4 linked regions of the Arabidopsis thaliana genome follow. The protein of the gene in region 4 interacts with the protein of the main gene of each other region in a pairwise test. Each region holds a gene or a part of one and is shown on either strand. Other genes may lie near its edges. The genes, in order: ATAF2, AT5G11340, TRY and AGL12.

Region 1 (5,994 bases), on a different chromosome or scaffold from region 4:
ACGAATTTGCTTAGTCATCATTTAGCTAAGCTTGTGGAGAAAAGAGAGATACTTTGTGACTGCAACAACGACTGTTACTCTCTCCCGGGTGAGAAGAAGACTGTTGCTTCCACTGATGTTCAGAGAAAGAGCGATCTGATAACAGTGAGAACAAATGATCAGCGTGCGGCGGATGAGGTTATGACTTGCCAAAACAAGGAAGAAAGTGTTGAAATTTTGAAGTCTGGGGATCCTAAGGTTGTTTTGTTGGAAGAACAGAGTTTGACTAAATCCCGAACCGGCTCCAAACGTAAAGCATGTTGTGTCATTAACGTCATTGAAGTAATGGACACAGAAGATAATGGATTCAAAGCAGGTTTAAGGGATTCGACTGTTCAAATTCCTAGGAAAGAGGGAGTTGTTGAAGTAGTAGATGTAGAAAATAGTGAGAATGAAGCTAGGATTGAAGCAAACAGTAGAGGAGGTGAATTATATGAAGTGGCTGTTCTATATAAGCAGAATGATGTGTTGATGGAAGAGTCGGGTAAAGAAGCAATGGAAACAAGCTCAATAGTGAGAAAAGCAAAACTGCGCAGAACATCTAACACAACGAAAGAAAATGTGGAAGTCACGAGTGAAGCATATAAAAAACTTTGGGAGTGCCAAACCGAAGCATGCAGCAATATCATTGCTCTAGAGTAAGCTCTGATCCCTTTTGTTGCCTGTTTTTCTATTCATCTTTGAATTAGCTTAATGATTTTCATGTTTCTCTTTGGGGTTGGAAAAATAGGAAAATGCTAAAACAGTGCAAAGAGAAAGACCAGCAGAACAAAGCTGTTTCAGAAATTGATGATGTTTCTCGTTTGCCTTTATCAATGGTGAGGACAAAAATCCCTGTTACGTCATGTCACTGATATGTTTTTGAGCTGATGAAAAACAGGTTCTGAATGTTTTTTTGTTGTCTCCTTTTCTTTATCCACAGGAAAGCTGCAGAGAACTGTGGAAGGCTGCCCAAAAGTTACAAAGCCAGCTCTCTGAGATCATCGATTCATGTGATGAAACCGTGGTTCCATATTCTGTATCTCCAGGATGTGAACTCGAAGGTATAAGCAAAGGATTATGCAAAGAGGATCCCAAAATGAAGACTCCTCGTGGGAATAATGGATCTGAAAAACCCTCCACACAGCTTGAACAGAAGGAAAGAGAGAAGTCTTCCAAAAAGAAACCTCAGGTCAAGAAAACGAGAATCAAAAGTCTCAGAGACATAGGAATAACAGCTGTGAGGAAATCGCCTCGATTCAGCTGATGATACTCATCAAAAAATGCTTCCGGAGAGCATGATATCTCATAAAGGTTAGGTTGTTATTTAATATCAGTATCTACATAAGTGCAACATCTTGAAGAATTTGAATATAAATTTTTAGTTTTCATATAAACTTCTCATGAAAGAACAAGAATGTGCCTGCTAATGAGACATTGATGCTAAAAGCTATTAACATTCTACAATCTTCTTTTACTACTAAGAGCCAGGGATGAGTTGAGATGAGACTCTTCTCTCTGGCACATCACAGTACTACTAGCAAACACCTTTTTTGGTCTCTTCCGTTTTTACCCCTGTGGAGCAAAACTCCAATTCAAGAATGGTTTCTGCTCAGGCGGATCCTGGAAGGAAGTGAAATAATCAGACTGATACAAGAACTGAGGGACAAAAGCGTCAGGCTGCAACAACTCCATGGAACTACCAAACATTGAAGTATCAAAAGCTTCCAAAGCATCCTCAAGCTCTCCCCATTTAGGCTCGCTCTGAACCTCCAAAACATCCGGTGACACCACGTGACCGTGACCACCTGAGCTGCTGGAATCATCCTCTTGCAATGTCGGGTAAGTCGAGTCTGATGTATCAAAAGGTGATGATGACTGTTCAGCCATTGTCGTGGTCCTCGGCTTCTCATCCGCGGGGAAATACTTCTCCATGGTTCCTTTCTTGTTGTATATTCGACATAAAACCCAATCATCAAGCTGTACAGCAAAACCCACCACAACAAAGTTAATAATCTAAATCATCATTCACGAAAAGATGATACATAAGTTAATAAGAAACAGAACTTACTCGTAGGTTGTTCTTTTTGTTAACAGAAGCTGATCTATCAACATTAGCGAGACGATACTCATGCATTATCCAATTGGTCTTAATCCCTTTTGGAGCTTTCCCTGCGTAGAAGACGAGTGCTTTCTTGATACCCAACGTCTTCGGTTTACCAATCGGTTTATCTGCTCCGGTAGCTTTCCAATAACCGGTTCCTGCTGCCCGGTTAGGACGCGAACCGTTTGGGTATTTCCGATCTCTAGGTGAGAAGAAGTACCACTCTTTCTCTCCGTACAGAGACATCTCTGAAAGAAGAACAAACATCTCAATAAACAACGATTCTCGAAGACACATGATTTCGCGAAAAATAATTAGAAGAAGCCCATAGGTGTACCTGGAAGCTCCCAAGGATTGAACTTGTAGAGATCAATCTCGGCGATAACCGGAGCCGAGATCTGCTCGGAAGCACATTTCCGGCACAAGTAGAATTTCACAAGCTCCTCGTCCGTTGGATGGAATCGGAACCCAGCTGGTAAATTTAGCTCCGACTTCATTCTCTTCTTCTTGTCTGTTGCTCTTGGAAAAATCTCTTCTTCGTTGGTTGAAAATTCAATTTCAGCTGGATCTGGATTTTTTTTGGGTTTTCTTCGTCTGCTCAAGATTGTAATCGAGGATATGTGAGTGAGGCGACGAAGGTTTTATAAGGACGAAAATCGCCGAAATGTTTTAATTAATTTAAATTGAAAAAACACAAAAAACAGAAAAGAGATGACACGAGGGGATTTTCAAGCACGTGCGGCAAAACAGACCGTTTTCTTTTCTACGCTGACCGCAGCCAGCTGGATATATACGTGGCGTAATATTATTGGATAGTCGACTTAGATGTTGTCATTGCTTGCGTCACTTAAACCTTTTGTGAATTGTTGACCGACTTTAGACCATCTCCATTGGGAAAGAGAGTGTAGAAAGTTTCTTACTTGAGAAACTTTGAGATACTTTACAACCCATCATGACAATTCTCATCTTACTATTGGTTCAATTTTTTAACAAAAATACTTTTTTAATTAAATAATTAAATTATAATATAATATTAATATTTTTTTTGTTTGAGAAATTTTGTGGATTTCTCGTAGATGGAAATGCCTTTATATGTCAAACCGTAATCTCCTGCTTCTCAGTGTAGCTTATCGCTTTTGTTCCTTTACTTACCACTAAGATTTACCACTAAGATTTAAAAAGAAAAATCTCAGCAGCCACTACTTTTTTATGATATTGAAATTGACACATTATTGTAACCTTGCTGAAGATAAGTCAGCATTTCTTGGGGCGGAAGTTGTAGTTTTGACTGGTGATTGGACAGTTTGATGAAACTACGGTGAGCATCTCCGCAGCTGATTAATTTCCTTCTTCAGGCGAAGCTTTGCGTCATGATGGATGACGTCATTTAAAGTTGCAATCGCCAATCATAGTCACTAATTATAAATACTCTCGACTAATAATACTACATTCACATAAATAAAAACATTGGAGTTCGCAAAGAAAGCGTTTGCGCTTTAGTTTGAGTTTCCCCGTTACATAAAAATATGTGTTAAGGACAACTATTTAACCACTAGCTTAATCCTTAATTAAGTACCCATTGAGCCGCTTTCATTACAGACTTAATTTATAATTCATAAGTTTGATTCACTAGCAAATAATGCCCATGAATCCTCTTCTATTTTAAAATCTTTAAATGTAAAGTTGAGGTAGGTGTGTATGCAAGCATGACGTGGGCTTGTTCCCCGTTTTATGATCATCATCACTTACGTTTTCTATCATATTATAAACTAATTATGATCGATTCAACGTAATGTTTTATAAGATCATGGTCTTTTCCTTTTACTATTAAAAGTCCCTTAGTAGCCAAATTAATTATAATACGAAATATTTGTGGTCAAACATGACTTTTTGTTGTTGTCAATAAGGATTCTTTATCGATATAAGAATGCAAGTTATATAAGTCGTATCATTTCATACACATCTTTTAGGCTTTTAGCTAAATAATTTTCGTGCACTGACGACTTCATTTTTTTCTGTCGTTTTAGATGATAACAGTCAAGTCTAGAATAAAAGATATGACCACTAATATTAAACCAAAAAAAGAAAACAAGAAAATATATAAAAGACATCGTAACGCATGATTTGTTCCTATTATAAAATTCAGATCAATTGGATCTGGACTTGATCTGAATTTTTATGATAAAGAGAGAAATCGACTTTATAGTTTTTTTGCAGTTGTTTGTTAATTTAGTCGCGGTGTGAATTGAAATAGGAAGCTTCGTGGAGCTTGATGTTATAGCTGCCGAACTTGACCCAAATTATGCAAATATAATGTTTTGGTGATGGATTATTACCTTTATGTTTTGTCGTTTCTAGAAATTTACATTGGAATATACTTGAGAATTTGGATAAGGAGGAGACAACTTGGGACCTCATTGTCGGAACTTAGAACCTATCGTTAACAACAATTAGTATCACATATACTACATACTATTCTCTATTCATATGACTACTTGTCTTATTCTTATGTGCGTGCGTATGACAAAAGTCTTACTATATAACATTCGTTTGAAACCGTGCATATATTGTAGTTAATTCTAGCATTTTAATTGGAATGTTTGAGTAGTGAATTATAAGTTTATGATAGATTTCTCCAACCTTCCGAGTTTCTAAATCGAATTTACTCAAAGCTCATACCTCTTATAATCGTGTGTAATAAACAACTTGCAAAGTTTCTTCAAAAACCAAACTACTTGCTAATTGCAAAAAAAAAAAATCAAATAAATACATCCATTTGTCACACCATTTTGTCCCTCTCTCTCAATCAATTCGTCACCGCAACTTAAAAACATCGGCCCAATTTGTCTTTCTCGACACAACAACTTAGGAAATAATGGGTCACGTTTGGGCCTTAATTTTGGGTCACTTACGGAAAACGGTTTCGGTTAGCTGGAGATCAACATCCAATCCGAATTCATTGTTAAATAACTTTTATCCTTACGGAAAACGGATCGGTTAGCTGGAGATCAACATCCTCCTAGAGACTGAATGATCTGACAATTTCCTCAGCGTGTCCATGTTCATGGAGCTCAACAAGTATTTTCTTTAACCTGCGGGCGAGACCAGTGGTTTCCGTATCGACCAGTCCCGAGGCAAACCTTTTTCTCGAGTATTCTTCCAAGTGTCAGAGTACAATCCACAAGGGGTTGCAGCAGATGACTGAAAAATCAAATAAAACATGCATGTGAGTATGCATCAAAGCAAAGTTGCAACACAAAGTGGTAATGTCCTAATCTGAGATGTGGATATCATGGGGAACCAAATGAAGATAGGTTAATGATACTTTGGACGTGCGTAGACCCGTTTTTTTTTGTTTTGTTTTAATGTAGACACACATCTTAGTTTCTCACTCTCACGTTGGCAATCGTATCAAAACAGTAGCTTAATTTTTCATGCAGACTGATTGTTATAACTGAAATGGGACATACTATGCGACATCACAAGCTCAATTTCACAGCCCTGGACTATGAGTAACCTTGATGTGTGCGAGTCAAAGCAAATTTTCTGATGTTACTGTTCAAAGAGATTAAAGTTACCTGTGGGTTCTTGTGACACTTGGTCCAGTCCATACTCCAGACAAAGAAGCAACGATCCTTTCAGTTTTTGTCACAGCATCATGGATATTTGATTCTGATGCAATGCTTCTGACATGAGGTAAAACTTTTCCAAACAAAAGGTCACTCAGAGCCAACTTCTCCAAGACCGGAAGCTCCATGACGTCTTTCCACATACAAATATTTCTCATAAGACGGACTGATGTCCCAAACCTATATGCTGCAACTTGTGGAGCATTAGGTACATCCTTTGATACCTGAGGATCCCATGTTGGA
Region 2 (6,714 bases), on a different chromosome or scaffold from region 4:
TTGAAGCCTAGTTCTTATGATGCATACCATTTAATCTTTACTCCAAGAGAGTCCGTAGAGAATACAAACTCAAGACAACTAAAAGTTTTCAACAAACCTACCTTCCAAATAGCACTATATCCCCGGTGCTTCATCTCCTCCTCTAAGTCCTGAAATTTATCAACTTCCTGACATATACAAAATAATTTTAGATTACTATACATATGGAAGATACATTCTGTATACATATGATAAAAAAATAGTAAAGCAAGAAAGTTTTGTCTCCTTAGTCCCTCATACAAGCAATTACCAAGAAGATATAGCAGAAACTATAACCTGAAGGCACATTATATCTGCAGACCATAGGCTAAGCTCGAACACTAATTTGCTCTTTCTCCATCCCCAACTCAACATATTCCTCGGTATGTGAAAGTAAAGACTTCTCCAGTGATCATTTGCAAGGTAATCCGCCAATATATTATACGATAAAACAACAAACTTTTCTGTAGACAAGAGAAAGCAAATCAAAAATTGTATACCGGAGCAAATGAGATGGTCACGCATAAATTACCGGAGCCAGGAGACGGTGGCGTTTTGGCATATTCCCATTCACGGTAATCTGAAGGTTTTGACCGTGGCCGTTGACGAAAGCTCTGCTGTGGAGGCGGCCGGGACATCTGGTTTTGATAGAACGGAGGGGGAGGGCAAGCCGCGTAGTTTTGATTAGACGGAAACTGATTAGGTTGACGGAATTGTTGCCACTGACCTCGTGACGGCGGCGGAGGTCGAAATTCGTAATTCTGATTGAACGGTGGTTGCTGCCGCTGATCAAGCGGAGGCTGATGTTGTCGATAAGGTTCACCATGCCGGAATCGGAAATTGGCGTCATGAACTGATTGAAAATGAGAATCTCCAGTAACGAACTGATCTCTTCCCGCGTCATCATTGTACGGACGATCGGAGAAACTTCTCCCACCTCGGCCTCGTCCTCGTCCTCGGGCACCTCTGTACTGCTTCGTAAGAAACAAATTATATTCCAGTAACCGAAGCAACGCAGCGGGAGTGATAGAACAAGAGAATAGCTGAGAAAATTTACCGGAGCACGAGTAGACATGGTGAAGATTGGAGCAGAGATAGTGGAGGCGTCAGCGAAGGTAACGTCGGAGAAAACTTGAGCAACAAAACGAGAACGCCGCATTGGTCAATCGAATTGAGTGAGGAAGCTCGAGGAACCGGTGCTTAATTGCAGACACCGATGAACGGAGACTCATAAGACGTGCCGTTTTTTGATTCAAGAAGAACACATCTTCCAGTCTTCACTGTGAATAAATGGCACGCAAGCCAAAACGCAAGTCATAAATTCTTCATTTTTTTCTTTACTTTATTCTACAGCTCATAACAAGAATCATTGTCTCTCTTTACTCAAATTCATAGACCAACATTTACAAACACGATGATACTTGGTAGTAAAGCTTTGAGTTGCAAAGTTAAAAACTTTTCCAAACGAAAATGTCCAAAGCCAAGAGGACATTAGAGAAATCATGCAAGTATATAACCAGGAATTTATAAATTTAGAATCAGTAAGAAAAATTAAGGTCAACAAAACAAGCAAAACTCGGAAACCGAAGGATCATCATAACATTAATAGATCTTGAACTGAATGCAACAAAGAAACTGGGGAGGAATGGCTTCCCCAAGTTTGGTATTTTTCATCATTTGTTGGCTTCAGATTGAGCAAAGGACTTGCTGACAACGTAGCAATCTCTTGGCTCAATGTTGATGTAATAGTTTTGTATGGTATCTGTGATCTCAAAGCCGAACTTCTTGTAGAACTTGATTGCGTCTTCGTTGTTTGTCTGCACATGCAAGTATATCTCACACATGTTTTGCTTGGAGCACATGTCAAGAACATGATTCAATAGATTTGAGCCTGCAAAAGACGAAAAAAACAAGATACACAAATTATAGACATCGAGTTTTTCTTTCTAAAGCAGGGAATTCGATCTTAAATCTTGATATAGGAGGAATCATAATTCCAGTTTCTCGGTAAAACAACGATATGCATAAAACCCTAAGGACTATTTCTTGGTGGTTTGAATCTCTAAATGGAGACACTTCAAATAGAGAACTACAGAATAAACATACTACAGCTGGCCTCATGTGTTAAAACGTAAGGAAAACAACAGAATTACACAACATGCTAACAGTTTTCTTCATTATTCATGTTTTGTCGGTATTCAAGTTTTGCACAGCAGATTTATGACTTACCAATGCCAATCCCACGGTAGGGTGCAAGAACACCAAGCGTCATTATATAAACTCGCATGGCCCCACTTTCTTTCTTCTCCAGCCGACAGGCGATAGCTCCAACACATATGTCATTGTAATATGCTGAGAGGAAGTCAATCCATTATTAGAACATGAAGAATTTTCCTTGATCACAAATTAGAGAAAATATATGTAACACCAAGAACATAACTACCCAAGCAACTGCAATGAAATAGTTAGTACCAAATTTAAGACGTTGTTAACAGTCTTTAGACTTTCATAATCACATCTTATTGTACATTTAAAGAACTAGTTGACGCAAAAGATGTTCCAACCAAGGGTTTCACAAAAGTGAGCTTGAAAAAATTCTGTGAATACGAAAATTAGTCTTGGACCATGTTCTCGAAAGATAATATAAGTCAATCAGCGATAGATTACAAGGTACACATGCTTAACATACAAAAAATTTTGCTTGGTTGAACAAAAGAATGCAGTATTCATATAGTCAAACAACTTAAAACAACGATCAAGATGATACTTTGTCAACATCAATGTCATCAACCACAAAGTTCAAACATGAATCGGTAATTACGAAACAACAGACAATAGAAAGCAAACAAAATCGATCCATTCAAGGCTTAGAAAGAAGGCTTCTACCAATATTACCGATAAAATCATCTTCTTCCTAGTATCAGACACTAGTACTGAACCTAAATAAAACATGGCTCAGTCAAATAAATTCACGGAACCGAACAAAAGAGAAGACACAGATAATCACACCTATTACAATGACCAGTGAACCAACTAAACAAACAACCAAAGGAAAGCAGGATTGCAAAAGGTACTTTCTTTGTAGAGTATACCAAGCCTAATCACAGAACAGTTCATCATAAACCCCCCAAAGCAAACTTTTCCTATTAAAGGAACAAACTCGACTACTAATGCTCGCTCAGGTAAAAAGACAGAAATCTGAGAGCAAAAATACCAAAATTCGATGAATTTTAGTTCTGATTCAGAGGCACATTCCCGTGAAATCGTAATAGCACATGCCCATTAAGAAATTTAAGCAGGAATTACTGGGGAAAGCAAAGAGAGACAGAAATTAAGAAAAATCAAGTAAGAAGAAGACGAACCAAGCTTGGTGAATTCGCCGGCAGCGATTGCATCGGCGTAGTACTTGTCGTTGTAACGAACCGGGAACAAAACCGTGTTGAGTATCTTAAGCTGCATCAAGTTTTTGTCTCTGACTCCATCTAGCGATACGCTGACTTCTCTCCCAGCTCCCATCGCCGTCGAACAATCTAGATATTCGACGTCGTACGGACAGAGACCAAAGAAATCAAGGGAAGAAAAAGCTCGAGATTTAGGGGAAACCCAAAAATCTATAAATAATGTTCGTGGGAGAGAGAATAGACTATTGGGCCTATAATTCATTCTGGGCCTGGACAAAATGAAATTCTAATACATAGTTTTGACGCACAACAGAGATCAGTTTCTTATTTATATGACCAAACGATTGGGCTTGGAATATTGGGCCTGGAATCATCCCACATAGTTCTAATCCTCTTATCCACCCAGAGGTTTCATTAAGTTGAAACTCTCTCTTATCGTTAACAATTTGTGAAGCAGAAGAAACATTTGATTTGATGAGATGGGGAAGAAGAAAGGGAAAGCGATCATAGTAGGAGGAAGTATAGCAGGCTTATCTTGCGCACACTCGCTCACGTTAGCATGCTGGGATGTTTTGGTTCTCGAGAAATCTTCCGAACCTCCTGTTGGGAGTCCTACTGGTGCTGGGCTCGGACTCGACCCTCAGGCTCGGCAGATCATCAAATCATGGCTTACTACTCCACAGCTCTTAGATGAAATCACCTTGCCTCTCTCGATTGATCAGGTAATAAGAACACTGAGTTTAGTTCGACAATTGAAACAATCGGCGTTTAGTTTTTCCAGCTCTACCTAAAGTTTTTAACTTTTTTTGTGTGTTGTGGGTTTGTTGTAGAATCAGACAACTGATAGTGAGAAGAAAGTGACAAGGATTTTAACAAGAGATGAGGATTTTGATTTCCGAGCAGCTTATTGGTCAGATATTCAATCTCTTCTGTATAACGCATTGCCTCAGACCATGTTTCTTTGGGGACATAAGTTTCTGTCTTTCACAATGTCACAAGATGAATCTAATGTAAAGGTTAAGACTTTAGTTGTGGAAACTCAAGAAACTGTTGAAATTGAAGGAGACTTACTTATTGCAGCTGATGGGTGTTTGTCTTCGATTCGGAAAACTTTCTTGCCTGACTTTAAACTGAGGTTTGAAATAAGAGTGTGATCTTCATTTATCGATATTTTGTGGACTTGATCATATAGGATTTTGTTTTTTTCGTTTTATGTGAAAGGTACTCTGGTTATTGTGCTTGGAGAGGTGTATTTGATTTCTCAGGGAATGAGAACTCGGAAACAGTTAGTGGGATTAAGAAAGTGTATCCGGATCTTGGAAAATGCTTGTATTTTGATCTCGGTGAACAGACTCATAGCGTGTTTTACGAGCTTTTTAACAAGAAACTCAACTGGATTTGGTATGTCAATCAACCAGAGCCTGACCTGAAAGTAAGAAGACTAATTCCTCTCTCTTTTTGATTAGGATGCGTCTACAAGTGTAGTTTTCTTGATTTCTATTTTGTTGTTGTTATGGAATTACGATATCAGAGCAACTCTGTTACTCTAAAAGTGAGTCAAGAAATGATCAATAAGATGCATCAAGAAGCAGAAACCATTTGGATCCCCGAACTAGCGAGACTCATGAGTGAAACAAAGGATCCTTTCCTTAATGTTATTTACGACTCTGACCCTTTAGAACGAATCTTTTGGGGAAACATCGTGTTGGTTGGAGACGCGGCTCATCCCACGACCCCTCATGGTCTAAGAAGCACAAACATGTCGATACTTGATGCGGAAGTGCTAGGCAAATGCTTAGAGAACTGTGGACCTGAGAATGTAAGTTTGGGTCTTGAGGAATATCAGAGAATAAGATTGCCTGTTGTTTCTGAGCAAGTTTTGTATGCAAGGCGTTTGGGGCGTATCAAGCAAGGTCTGGATCATGACGGAATTGGAGATGGCGTTTTTGGTTTGGAGCAGAGAAACATGCCATTCTTTTCCTGTGCTCCCCTTATCTAGTGATAAATATTTGATGTGAGAGATGTTGTATGTTAATAATTGTGTGTTTAATAGACTTGAACATATTGTTTGGAACGTTAATGTAGAAACTATGGATACTTCAAATACAAGTTATATAAAAATGATGAAAAAAATCAGTTTTGTGACCCTAGAATCCACAAAGCAGGAGAAAATTTGTTTTCACTGTCAAAAAGGAAGGAAAAAAAAAAAATTGCGTCTGCCGGGAGTCGAACCCGGGTCTATTGCTTGGAAGGCAATTATCCTAACCGTTGGACTACAGACGCTTTTGTCTTCTATTTACAGGTTGACATATTTAAATATAATGGTCAACGCAGAAGCCGTTGATTCTTACATGGTGATTGGTGGATACTATTTTTAGACATATTATTATATTTTGGGACAATTATACATATGTATTATACACCTTTTTCAGTTGTTCATTCTGGAGAAAAACAAAAACACTAAGTGAATCATGTGATGCGTCGCACAAAATGCATTAGTAAAGAATGTGGTATGTGGTATGTGGAGTGTGGACCATCGTTTAAACTTCTTTTTATTTTTTGTTTATCTTACTACTACAATTAAAAAGAACATCATAGTTGTAGGAACTAAAATTAGTAATACTACAGTAATTGTAATTGAAATTAAAATCACAAATGTTTAAAGAAAGACATGAGAGGAGTCGAGTTGCTGATTTTACGTAATGTTGCTCATTTTAGCTCCTACATACTTTGGATAAGATATTATGTAAAAAAATATCATGTTTTCAAAATCACATTTAACATGGCCTTGCAAGATAAAATATAGTAGAAAAAGTGAAAACAGTTTAAGATTTTCAGAAGAAAAAAAAAAGGAAAAGGAAAAAAGATTCCATCGTCTCTTCTTAATTATTATTTTTAGTGGTTTCAAATAATACAATATCAAATACCATGAATTAATCTAATTGTAATGAATCAGTGACTTATGTCGGTACATGACTTATTTGAATACTTACACACATACTGAATACAAATGTCGAGGGTAATCCTAACGTACATCTCCAATTTATGGTTAAGCTATCTCAGATGTCCAACATGCATGCGTCTATATATGGTATATATGAGTGTGGTCATGTAACTATGGTGAGAAAAATTGAGGTTGAGGGCAAATTCAAGCCTGACAGAAAAGTTCCAAAGAGCATTGAGTCGGATAATGCAGAAGGAGAAATTGGAAGAAGAGGCCAGAGCAAGATGACGTTTTCATGGGACCCTAAATTCTTTTGTCTACATTGTAATATTCATATTTTTGCCATTATCG
Region 3 (5,607 bases), on a different chromosome or scaffold from region 4:
ATCCAATCTCAACATTTAGATGCAACATCGAATCATCCATGTTCAACATCAACATATTGTTGGGTTTAAAACTTTTGACTGTGAAACTTCGTGTGGCTGGTTTAGAGATCAACCAAACCCCAAAACTGATGGTGGTGAATATCCCTAGCTATTCAAATTGTAGTTTGTAGATATCCGATTTTTTTTTTTTTTCCGTCACTTTGTAGATATCCGAATTATCAATACATTCTCTGAAATGGATAGTCCTAACGCAGTGTATCCACTACTGGTGAACTTACAACTGGGCTGTAAAAACTGAAATTGGGCATTTTTTATCGGCCCATAGTTTTACCTTTACTTGTATTGGTCGAGTGACGTTGATAATCTGTCGTACCTTGTTAAATAATGGGCTAAAATAATTGGGACACTATTGGGCCTAAAAGCTTTAACTAAGATTGTGATTTGTGAGTTTATGTGAAACGACATATAGCTGAAGAATTGAATCGTTTGGTTCGTAATCATGAAAATCATATAATGGAAAATTCTATCCGTTAAATCCTGTCCATGAAAAGTTAGTTTTAGACGCAAACCGTCCGTTCATTAGTCGTTTACCAATGAGAATCACGTTTTTTAAATAGACGTTTAGGATGATCTCATATAGTACTTTTTATCGTGTTGGTAGAAAGTTTTCAAACTGATAATTTTTTGTATGAAAGGCAATACTATATATAGATTCTTTATTTCTTAAAACGTTTATAGAAAAATTAAGTTCATACTTCATACTTCATAGTCCTACATATATATAGCTAGTGCAAGCATGTAACACCTAATATTTAAGTGATTGTGAAAATAAGTGTTCATAACTTTTGGTTAGAATTGGATCGGGGTTTTTATTTTAGTTACATTTTTTTTAAAGTATAGATACATTATGTCATTAATTCTGTAATAATTTTTTTAAGTAGTTTCTTCAAAATATACTAGTCAACTATAACTAATGGAGTATTTCTTTTTTTTTTTTTACTATTTAAAATTATTGTCATTAGTTAAAATATTACCCAACCATTTTTGCACAAATGATCAGTTTCCTCTTGATAAGTTCTTTCAAAGGACTAAATCTAATACACAATTTTTTTTACTTTCTAATTACTGATGTATTAGAGAATATAAAATATATTAGAGAATATAAAATATAAAATGTTACTATATATAAAATTAAACTATAAAATATAAATGTATTAGAGAATGATACAATTTGTAAAACTTTTATATGTAATAAATAATTCTCAAATTTTTAAAATTACTACTTTAAAAATAAATCACGGGATGGGTAAAGAAATTACAGAACAGATTTTATTTTGGAATTGAGTTATATGGTGGATGTATTTGAATCAATATTTATAAATTTTTAAAATATTATTAATATGCTGTTTTAGTAAGGGTTAAAACTTCAGTTTTTTAACAATTGTCTCATGGATTCGTTGTATAGCGTTACTTAATAACAATTATAAACTGTAAAATAAAAATATTTTATAAAAATAAAATTTGCAAGTTTTAATATATATTAACTTTAAAAAGTAAATTATACCGCGATATACCGCGGATTAAAATCTAGTTGTGGATATAAAAGTCGTAGACGAGAAAATAAAAAAACCTAACCGCATGGATTAAAGTTGATTACCAAATGAAACCTATACTATAAAAATTATAAATGAAATAACAACAAAAAGAAAACAATAGATGATGAATTCTTCAAACTAACAAGAACCACTACTATACATCTATTATAATTTTTTTATTTTCTTTTTTCGTTGGCTTAAAAACAAAAACACTAGGAAGGATAGATAGAAAAGCGAGGACGGTGAGGCTTGGTATGTTTGTGGGAAGATGAGTGAAGCTGGCGTCGTTTATCAGCAAAGCCTTCACTGTTTCTCATTATCCAATATCTCTCTATCTCCTCTGGTTGTCTTCCAGGAACTCTTCCTGCTATCAAATCCCACCTAATTCAAAAGAAAAAAAAAAACATTTTTATCCCAAGCATTAGCATTTATATTTTCATAATAAAATATAATTTGTCAGTTCAAAAATTTCCATTTTTGAGCCAGCCAAGCATTTATATACATGAGTACGTACTGATAAGAATAGTAAATTAGGTTCTTATTTTTATCTCTATATATATGTGTGTACATATATAATTTAATGAACGTGATAGCTTTAATTAAATGTCTTTTTTTAGAAAATTAGTGGACACCATGTGCTTCCCCTACAACATGGTACACTGTACATATGTTATAAAGTACATATGCTTAAATTAACGTATGTAAAATTGTATATACCTGCATATTAAATTGTTTTAGCTAGACATGTCTAAAATATAAAATTTATTTTATGCTGGGATAATCTTAGAAAAAGTAGAAGAAGAAGAAATTGTTACCTATCACCGACAAGTCTGTACATTCGAAAGATGAGATCTTCTTCTTGTTCAGTCATGTTGATAAACTCCCATTCGATACTGCTCACTTCTGCAAATAACAATATTAAACCAATTAAACTCAAAACAATATTAAACTAACAAAAAAAGACAAATATAAACTTTTTAAAAAGATATTAATTTTTGTTAAAACTAGAAACTAATCTTGATAAGTCTTTTAGTCAGCACGAGGTGTAACTAATTTAGAAGTAATTAAACGTATCCCTCGTTTTAACGAATATATACAAAGAGAATATGATCCTAGCTAGGAACTAAATTTATTTTCAAGATGTTTAATAAAATTGGATTTAGGAAATAGAAAATATATAGAGAATAGAGAGGTACCTTCAGAGTCATGGAGGGCGATTTTGTGTTGCTTACGACGGCGACGACGGTCAGTGTTATCCATTACTATTGAAGTAAGAAAAGAAAAATAGAGAGAAATTAATGTGATGAAATTTTGAGTTTGGAGAATGTAAGGAAAAAAAGACGTGAGAGATGAGAGTTTATAGAGCGAACAAGAAGAAGAAGAGGGGAGGAGAGAGAAGGAAATGTCCAACGAACGGCCTTTGCAAAACTAATAGTAAGAAGTGTTGTGTGGTCTTGTTGACCTCTTACCCTTTGTGTAGACTTGTCGTTGACACTCAAATACACATGGAGATGAAGTCTTTTATTGGGATTTGTAAGTATTTTGAAGGCTAACTTTGTTCTCATTCGTAGATCCTAACAATTTTTTTTTTCCATTTATTCAATTTTTCTAAACCTACTATCTTTTTAGAATAATGGGATTTATTGATTTTTATTTGGCAGATGCAAGTTCAACGATGTTTTAGTTATTGATTTGTTGTTGTTCTTTCCATTTTTGTATTCAAGTCCAATTTGTATTTCTAAGAAAATTAGTTGTTATTAGGTTATTAGTTTTTCAAGTTTTTTTTTCAGGGTTGGACATACACACCAAACCGTACCGAATAAAAATTCTTGAACCAAAAATAAACTTATTTTTTTTTCCATATAGTAACAAATTAGTTTCACTATATACACTAAAATGAATCTAATTCGAACCTTAATCTAGTGCATGAAAATGAAACAAAATCTAATCGATCAAATTTATTAAAATTGTCCATTGTGTTTGTTATTAAACGCTATGTTTGAGCCAAAACACATACATATTTTGATAGTCATCATTGTCACTACAATTAGTTATTTTATTTTGATAGTTATTATAATGTAGGAATAAGTTAGATATCTTACAACTTTACTTAAAAGATAACGTCACCCAATATAAAACATGGGAATAATATTTATATCAATATATATAGAAAATACTTTTTAATATATTAATTAGATAGTTATTTATATTATTTTATTAATATTTTAAATAAACCAAACTAAAATTTATTTTAATTTAGAGAAATATTATTAAAATCGAAAAAACCAAACAAAACGGAAAATCGAAGGCCTATACCTAATATTCCCACTTAATATAGTACGTATGTTAATTAATTCATTAATCAACATGTTCATATTTTCATTCGTTATACAAGAAGTCTCATTCCCGATTGACTTTTCTTTCATCTCCACGAAGAGGTTGAAACAGAAATTTTTTGGCACAATAAAAAACATGATTCAGATTTTATCCCAAAATCACACAATGTTTTTAATATAATAATTCCACTTCTCCGAATAATTTAACATTTTAACCCCTGTTTTTTAATTCTACATTTGACATATGTTTTAATTCTAGAACAGTGACTAAGACATTACATACGACGCTGTATGGCAACTCCTTACACACGCGATTTAATGAGTGCTTCTGGAGAAATTCAATCTCTCACACATGATACAACCAAAATCCCTGATTTGCGTTTTCTTCGAAATATTTAAATCTATTATAAATCTGAATCGACCCATTAAACTAACGTATTTAATTCGAGTGAGAAACATCATATATAAAGTACGCTTCTCAATAAATTTTGTAAGAAAGTATACAATTACTATCATATTCTCACGAAAGAGATTTTCAAAATATAAAGTACCCTACCAGATAATTCATAATTGGATAAAAGATTAAACGGAAGAAATCTGTAGTCTACGGCGAAAGACATCGTGTGAGGCGAGTCATGTGATGTATATCGCATCATCCTCATTGCATAGAAACTGTGTATTATGTGATAGATTTGGAATTTTTTTAATAGGAAGCCTAGTTGGTAAAATATCTCTTTACTCGAAGCTTAAATACAATATAGCAATATAAATGATTTTCATAAACTTTTGATAAACAAATCAATTCGATATCGAAGAATGCATCAATGAAAATGTGTCTTTAGTTTGGAGCTAAAAGAACGAAATTGGTTTGCATAGCTAAACTAATGTCTAAAATTCTGGTACAAAAGGACAAAGATGTGATTACCTTTTCTATTATTTGATTATATCAACAACAACAAAGATGTGACATGTTGCCTCCTAGAAAGATTTTTCATAATAGCAATCACTATCCATTTCTCTTTCCACTTTAATTAAAATTAAAACTCTTGTACAAATTATTCTTTTTGGTTGAACAATAAATTTGATATTACACAAGAAAAGAAGATAGATTACTCGTAAAAGAACTGCTATTAAGGAATATTTTTGTAGTTAATAAGAAAGTTATAAGAGAAAGAAAAGAAATATTGAACCGATTTGAAACATGGTTGCAGCTGTTGGTAGATCAATTCAACTAACATTCTTAGGCCTAAATAAACATATATTTATTTGTAACGTATCGAATGATTACACATATTATACGAGTGCCCCCATACATGCATGTATATAGGAGTATTTTATATTTTATTAAACCTGGGTCATTAAAATATTAATTTAAACCCCACAAAGTAAAAGCTCGAATCAAATAATAAAACTTGTTGAACTGTAGATGTTTTGATTGGTTAACAACATTGTTGACAACATTTAAGGTGGTCCAATGAATGTTTCTGCTGCTTTCAGTTGGAAAAGCGTTATATACGAATTGAGTATATTCACTTAACCGCTTACACTCTTATGCAACATATGAGTATTTGCGGTTTTTAACAAGATGGAAAACGTGATATTTTAGAAGATGATAAGGTTTCTTCACTACATGACTATATATGAGTGAGTAGCCCCATCCACAAACAACATATGAA
Region 4 (6,623 bases):
TTTAGGTCGACCAGCGGAGGCGGAGGAGCAGAAATAGGTTCCTCAACCACAACTAGTTGGCCAGAGACGCCATGAAGGAGTTGGAGAACCACGGCAAGAAGAGCTGAGAAGAAGCAAAGTCGCCGGAAGTGGAAAGCCATTATGAAGTTGTTTGTGTTTAGTAAGGTGTAACTTTTAACTTTTGTAGGTTGATTTTGGGGTGAAGAGACAAATAGATTTGGACAGATTTATAGATAGATGAGAAGGGTTTGGTGAAGAGTAATAAATGTATTTATCCGTCTTCTACCACACCGTAATAACACAATCAGTGGTAGGTGAGTTGTCTACAATATTACTTAACATTATTGTAAACATGTCATTTTCCATAGCCAGATTTTTTGAGAAACGTTTAAATTGTAGCTATCGGAAAATTTAGCAATTAGTGTATTTTGAAAATTACATATTTAGAATTGAGATGCAAAACAAAATGTGTGTGCCAATTTATGATGTGTTTACTGTTTAGGCCGTATCACCAAAACAATCATTCATTCTTTTTTCTTTTTTTATTCTATAATTAATATTAGTTTAACAAAAGTATTTAAGTTGAAATATATGATCAGGATGACATAATTATTGATTTGGTGAAATGCAAGCCAGCACAACTAAAAAAAATATCATTTACTTAAACAATCGATTTCATTAAGCTCATTATATAAAATTCCTGTATTTTTTTTTTCACATATAAAATTCCTGTACATGATGAACTATTTGATCGAAAGAGGAAAGTAAACCAGGGAGAAGCGATTTATTAAAAAACATTTCTTACCAAATAAAAACATTGCATTTAAATCGTCGTTATTCTCAAAGACGTTTAATAAGCTGTCACGGTCAAATCGTGAAGACCAGTTATGTCGAAGACGAGGGCAGAAAAAGCAACAAATAAGCCTCTTCTATTACAAATGATGGTTGTAGATTTTAGCATGTCATTAAATTTAGGGTTGACTTTAATGTTTTGACTTCATCATATACGCGGGACCCAATAATATGGTAGTCTTTTTAAACCAATAAAATGTATAGTCCCATCGTATGTTAAGAACTTAAGATACAAAAAGTTTTCACATTTCTAGATTTGTTTCAAATTTCATGACATGATCAGTTACGTTATGGAATCGAATCAGAGAAGCTTTAGTTGTGTCGAATTTCTATTTTCCATAAAGTATGAGTTGTCGACATTATAATTTTCATCATGGATAACAATGTAAAATTATTAATTTAAAAAAACATTGTAAATATACACTGCAAAAAGAGGCTAGGTATCTTCAGTTAAACCCAAAACCAAATAATCCATAAATTCAAAACATAGATAGAAAGTAGAAAGAGTTATAAGTACACACCACACTTGCAGTCATTTCATCTTCACACCAACAAATGTAAAACAAGAGGATAAAACATACGGATAGATTTTCAACTGCCTAGCGAAGTTCCACAGGCTTTATTTTAATTATGTGTGATTTAACAACACTATATTATACTTACCAAGGTTATTTAAATTCGTGAGACATAGTCTTCAAATACCCTATGGTCTAGAACTGAAATATTTCACTTGGCATTGTTAGCGGATAGGAATAGTTTGTCTCCATGACTGCGAAGTTAGCATCTAATATGCTATTGTTGTTTTCCTCTATCTGCATTTAATTCACCAACAAAATAAATCATTAGACAATAGCTAAGCAAAACACTCTAAAGATCATCTGAATAGTGCGACTAGATAATTCTGCTGATAGAAGTTTCATAAGTTGTGCTATGATGAGATCATACAACTGATTTTGTTACCTTTTCGAGGAGATACTTGTTGGTGTTTTTGAGGACTCCTTCCTTTAAATACAAAAAAAAAAAAAAAAAAACTGTTAAAAATTTACATTAATTTAATATAATTGCTATAAAGCTGAATATACAATGTGTTTTTTTTTTTTGAAAAACATTTGTTTTTTTTGCTTACCTTGTTCCTCAATGACTGAATTTCTTGAAGCATAACATCCATCTGCAAATTTTACATAAAAGCTTTTCTAGTCAATCATTTTATATTCACTCTCCCTAACATTTGCACTAAATATATGCATGAAAACATGTATACATACCTTAGCAGAGCGAATCTGAGAAATCCAATACTCAAGATGCTTCTCAAGCAAAAGAAGTTCTTCAAGATTCATAGCCCCATCTCCTCCTCCAAACATATAGCTGAAATCCATTTTAAATGCATTTACTCATATATGTATAAATTTATAACCCATAAGTAAGGAGATAGCATGCAAATAATCAGTATACCTTATCCCTTTCTGAAGCATCTCAATCTCTTGCTTAAGCACGTTGATCTCATCTTTCGGATCCTAGAGAATTATAAACTTTTATTTCAATGTTTCTATACATTATTTGTAAACATATCTAAAAGCGGGTGAATTTTTTTGAAGATGTCGAATTACAAATAGTGACCCATGTTGGTACACACACACACAAACATGAAATACGTATATGCATCAATATATAAAATAATAGTTCAAAGCGTGTCAATAACTATAGTTTAGGCCTTAGGGCAACCTTTATAAAGTGGTCAGATCAACTTTTATTAAAAGATTGTGCTGATTATAAACCAATAATACTACTTCATTCCGAAACACAATGCGATTGAATAACCAGAGATATAAAATATTAATTAAAGTGTAATACATTGTCTCTAAGCATCTTTTACTTTAACAGTAATTACTTTGACTTGTTTCGTAACTATTTTATGATAGTACAACGTTCCACAACAATGTCAGTTCCTCTCAGTAGTCAACAAATTAAAAATTCGGAGAATTGGAGAGCTAGGTGCAATGAATGTTGTACTTCACTAACTATTTTCATGTATAGAATCAGAATCAGGTGCCCTACCTAACTTCCCTGAGTATTTTAATTTCAAATCAATTAACAACGTCCAACAGATTTTCCCTCTGCATGTCAACACGTGTTAGCATGTTGCACACTAAAATAATGTTTATGGAACAAAAAGACTAAACTACCCCTTAAAAGAATGAAATGGAAAGAAGTGAAACTACTGACGACGAGGCACTAGTTTTAATATCAACCCAAAAATTCTATTTAAAAAAACAAACACATACGATAATCAATCCCAAAAATAAAGAAAAACTCGATGAAAGTAGATACTAATTAATGAGAATGAAAGAGAAAGTAGACGTACAAGATTTGGTGGTTGAAGTTGTTCTTGAGCAGTAAAAGTAGCAGAAGAAGAACCACGACCACCACCAGTACACTTCATGTACTTATCAATCATTCCCTCCATTGTTCTGAATTTATAATCAGATTTACATATATAATATATGTTACTCTTTAGTCACATGTATATATATGAACACTAAGATATATATATGATATAATACGTACCCTTTAGTAGCGAGCTCAAAGAGCTTGCCCTGAGGAGAGAAGATCACAACACCGATCTCGGCATCACAGAGCACAGAGAGCTCCTTAGCCTTCTTGAGAAGACCAGTTCTCCTCTTGCAAAAAGTCACTTGTCTGTGAACCGGGTTCTCAATCCTCTTAAGCTGAATCTTTCCACGAGCCATCTCTCAATCAGAATATTTCCTTCTATCTGATGATTTGACGTTTGGGTTTACGTTTAGAGTTGGATTTGGTTTTATGACTTGAAAGTTGAAACGTGAAACAACCTCCCACTAGTTTGAACTAGCTTCGAGGTTCCCCACTTAACTCTTTGGTTTCTCTGTTTCTTCGGAGACAACTGTGAAGTTATTACCAATCTCATGCCACCTTCTTGTCTTTATATATAATCTCCATTATCATATTCTCCCACTAACTTCACTGCTTCTTAAAGCACCTTTTCCACATCAGCCTCATTTTCCCTTATATATGTATGCGCTCATATACGTTATATGTTAAGTATGCATTCATACAATAGTATATAGCTTTACATGCGAAAGCTCCGTCTTTCTTTGTTATTATAAGGGGTTTGTATTGTACTATCCCTTCCTCCTCTAGCTTGTAGTATAATTTCCTAGGTTTCTTTTTGATTGATTGATGTTACATCTGATGTGACATATGACCTGACATGCACTATTGTTACAATATCCAAATATATTTAACAATCTAATTTGGTACAATTTACATTCTACACCAAGAGATGGAGGCTGGATTTGATATGTGCAAGACTATATATATAAAAAAAGATTGAGTTCCCAAATGGCATGCGATTCACTTTCTTAAAAAAAGAATTCTTTGTTTTATTTTTTATAAACAAAGCGTTATTATGTGAAGGATTTAGAGTAAATAAGAGTTCAACAATGAAACAAAAACTAGTTCTGTTCCTAGTTAAACATTCATAGCATCTTTATTCATAGCATCATTTATTTTGCCTCTTATATTTACTAATGTATAGTTCTGAATATATCTCTGCACGTACCTCTCATATCTTATTTACTTTAACTGGATCCAAAGATCGAATATATTTATTTTGGGTTGATGACTTGATGTAAATCATTAAAAATACATAAAATTTCATCTTAAAATCAACTAATAATAAACAAGAAGTTATCAAAAAAAAAAAAAAAAGTGGGAGGTTTTTGCTCTATTGATTAAGCAAAAGTTTAATGTATTTACACTATCGAATTACCGTCCGAATAATAACAAAATATATTATATGTATATATTTTTGTTATTATTAAAACGAACCATATTTGATCTAGAGTTGAAACTCACATGATCTCTATTTAGTGTCTAAATATGAAATTCGATTACTAGAAAATATAAAGCAGACTAATAGAAAGAAGTTTACAAAGAATTTTCATTGTGGTATATATAGAACTGCTCATCATTATTATGTCATGTTAAAAATCCATGGTGAGCTTTTTATTCTGTATTTTTTTTTTTTTTTTCGTCCGAGCTTTTTATTCTGTATTGAATTATACATTTCTCACATTTAACGACGTGGAATTCTTAACCCATTTTAACAACTAAAAAGAACAATTAAGTGATGGTCATTAAGCATACTTAGCCCATATTAAAGCGGGTATCATGTGCATCTCATCGTGGTGGAGAACCAATGACCTGCCCATGTTAGGTGCCAATGTAGCCTTTTTTTTTTGTTAGGTGTATTAATTTATTGAATTTCACCTTTTTGCTTGTTAATTGATTAAGTAGGTCGTTTTTCTCCTTTCTAAATATTTTTTTGACCATCTTGCTTTGCCTTTGGTCTACATAACAAACTCCTGAATCTTATTCTTCTTCAACATTACGGGGTTTTTCAACTCACTTTTTTCTTGGAATATGGGATTTTTCTCTTATTTCTGAGTAGAAAATCCACCTTATATTCGACATCAATATTTCAAAGAAATACATAATACATTGAAACATAGATTGATACTCTGTAACGATGGAACTTTTTTGGTTAAGGTCACTAACTGGTATTCTGTGAGCGGTTTAACTCATCATATAACAAAAGACTCACAGCTTCTTTTACCAAAAAAAAAAAAAAAGACACAGCTTTTAGCAACGTTTTTTACGATGGTATTTTTTAGCGTGGATTATATCATCAAATTTAAATTTCACCATGAAGAAAGTAAGGTTTAATCAAACTAGAATTAAATAACATTTTCCATGGACTAAATCCCCTTAGCAGCTAATTTTTTTTTTTTTTAATATAGCTAATGTAAGAGTATATTCCCTTTAACTAATTTAATCCATCTTTACAGAATCCATAACTAAAAAATATGATAATTTCGTGGTGATTGTACACATTTCGATTTATTTTTTTTGTTGAAAAGGCCAAGGTTAGTATTCAAAATAGTATTAGAATGGGATTCCTCTATAAATAATTTACATTTGCCATTACAACATAAACTGGTGTGGAACCAAAGTTCTAAACTATTGAAATCTAGTCAAAATATTTCGCTGTCAAAATATGTATTTTGGACATTTTGATTTCGATGCTTCCAAAATTGAAATGATTGATCGTTCTAAAAACAGTTTAAACTTTAAGAAAGAGGGTCAGCTTAAGTAAGGAAGAAGGAAGTAAATAAAGAATCTTTGTCAAATCAAAATGCATCAAACATGCAAAACGCAAAAAGTGTGTGATCGATCTGTTGCTTCTTTTTCCTCGCATCTTTGCGCTCATTGGCTCGATCAAGATCGTATCTATGATTGACACTTGTTTGATTTTCATGTCTTTTAGGGGCATAAAGTTTCTTTTGATTCTCCACTCCCTAAAATTTATTTATTTCTTTGTATATTATTTATCCTAATGCATGCTTTTAATTTAACTATGAGCTTATGTGCATTGCGATCTGAGAAAGTGGGTTTCTTTAGATAACATTAATATATGAATTAATTGATATATGCTAGAAAAATCTAACTAGTATTGTTAGACATTCTAACCAATTATTTCTTCGAATATATGGATCTTACAATAAGAAACCAACTAAACTTTCATATTTTAATCCAAAGTAATTCCAAACTTTCAACTATTAATTCTTATTTCCCAAAACTCAACGGAAAAAAAATCAGCCTCAAGTTTAAAGTTCATTTACTTTTTTTTTTAGCTCTTTTAATGGTCAATTTTCGTAAAAATTAGTTATATA

What was found.
Region 1: the proteins of AGL12 (region 4) and ATAF2 interact in a two-hybrid assay, tested with the Arabidopsis thaliana proteins (one large-scale study listed by BioGRID).
Region 2: the proteins of AGL12 (region 4) and AT5G11340 interact in a two-hybrid assay, tested with the Arabidopsis thaliana proteins (one large-scale study listed by BioGRID).
Region 3: the proteins of AGL12 (region 4) and TRY interact in a two-hybrid assay, tested with the Arabidopsis thaliana proteins (one large-scale study listed by BioGRID).

What each region holds. Positions count from the first base shown.
Region 1 is NC_003076.8:2,857,526-2,863,519, forward strand, and holds ATAF2 (NAC (No Apical Meristem) domain transcriptional regulator superfamily protein), read right to left. Parts: upstream 3,034-5,994; 5' UTR 2,620-3,033; coding exon 2,460-2,619; intron 2,371-2,459; coding exon 2,090-2,370; intron 1,999-2,089; coding exon 1,588-1,998; 3' UTR 1,324-1,587; downstream 1-1,323. Other genes in the region: AT5G08780 (winged-helix DNA-binding transcription factor family protein), read left to right, coding at 1-677, 770-857, 962-1,285; AT5G09210 (GC-rich sequence DNA-binding factor-like protein), read right to left, coding at 5,194-5,323, 5,701-5,994.
Region 2 is NC_003076.8:3,616,046-3,622,759, reverse strand, and holds AT5G11340 (Acyl-CoA N-acyltransferases (NAT) superfamily protein), read right to left. Parts: upstream 3,609-6,714; 5' UTR 3,535-3,608; coding exon 3,381-3,534; intron 2,371-3,380; coding exon 2,248-2,370; intron 1,910-2,247; coding exon 1,692-1,909; 3' UTR 1,249-1,691; downstream 1-1,248. Other genes in the region: AT5G11350 (DNAse I-like superfamily protein), read right to left, coding at 102-167, 316-482, 551-992, 1,076-1,177; AT5G11330 (FAD/NAD(P)-binding oxidoreductase family protein), read left to right, coding at 3,899-4,141, 4,250-4,554, 4,641-4,851, 4,951-5,418.
Region 3 is NC_003076.8:21,580,161-21,585,767, reverse strand, and holds TRY (Homeodomain-like superfamily protein), read right to left. Parts: upstream 3,155-5,607; 5' UTR 2,856-3,154; coding exon 2,792-2,855; intron 2,499-2,791; coding exon 2,411-2,498; intron 1,977-2,410; coding exon 1,808-1,976; 3' UTR 1,525-1,807; downstream 1-1,524. UniProt on the Arabidopsis thaliana protein: Transcription factor. Involved in epidermal cell fate specification. Negative regulator of trichome development, including endoreplication, by lateral inhibition involving intercellular interactions.
Region 4 is NC_003070.9:26,951,341-26,957,963, forward strand, and holds AGL12 (AGAMOUS-like 12), read right to left. Parts: upstream 3,788-6,623; 5' UTR 3,600-3,787; coding exon 3,418-3,599; intron 3,321-3,417; coding exon 3,215-3,320; intron 2,367-3,214; coding exon 2,305-2,366; intron 2,218-2,304; coding exon 2,118-2,217; intron 2,021-2,117; coding exon 1,979-2,020; intron 1,855-1,978; coding exon 1,813-1,854; intron 1,665-1,812; coding exon 1,563-1,664; 3' UTR 1,205-1,562; downstream 1-1,204. Other genes in the region: AT1G71691 (GDSL-like Lipase/Acylhydrolase superfamily protein), read right to left, coding at 1-140. UniProt on the Arabidopsis thaliana protein: Probable transcription activator that regulates root development by controlling cell proliferation in root meristem. May mediate responses to auxin in the root. May act as promoter of the flowering transition through up-regulation of SOC, FT and LFY.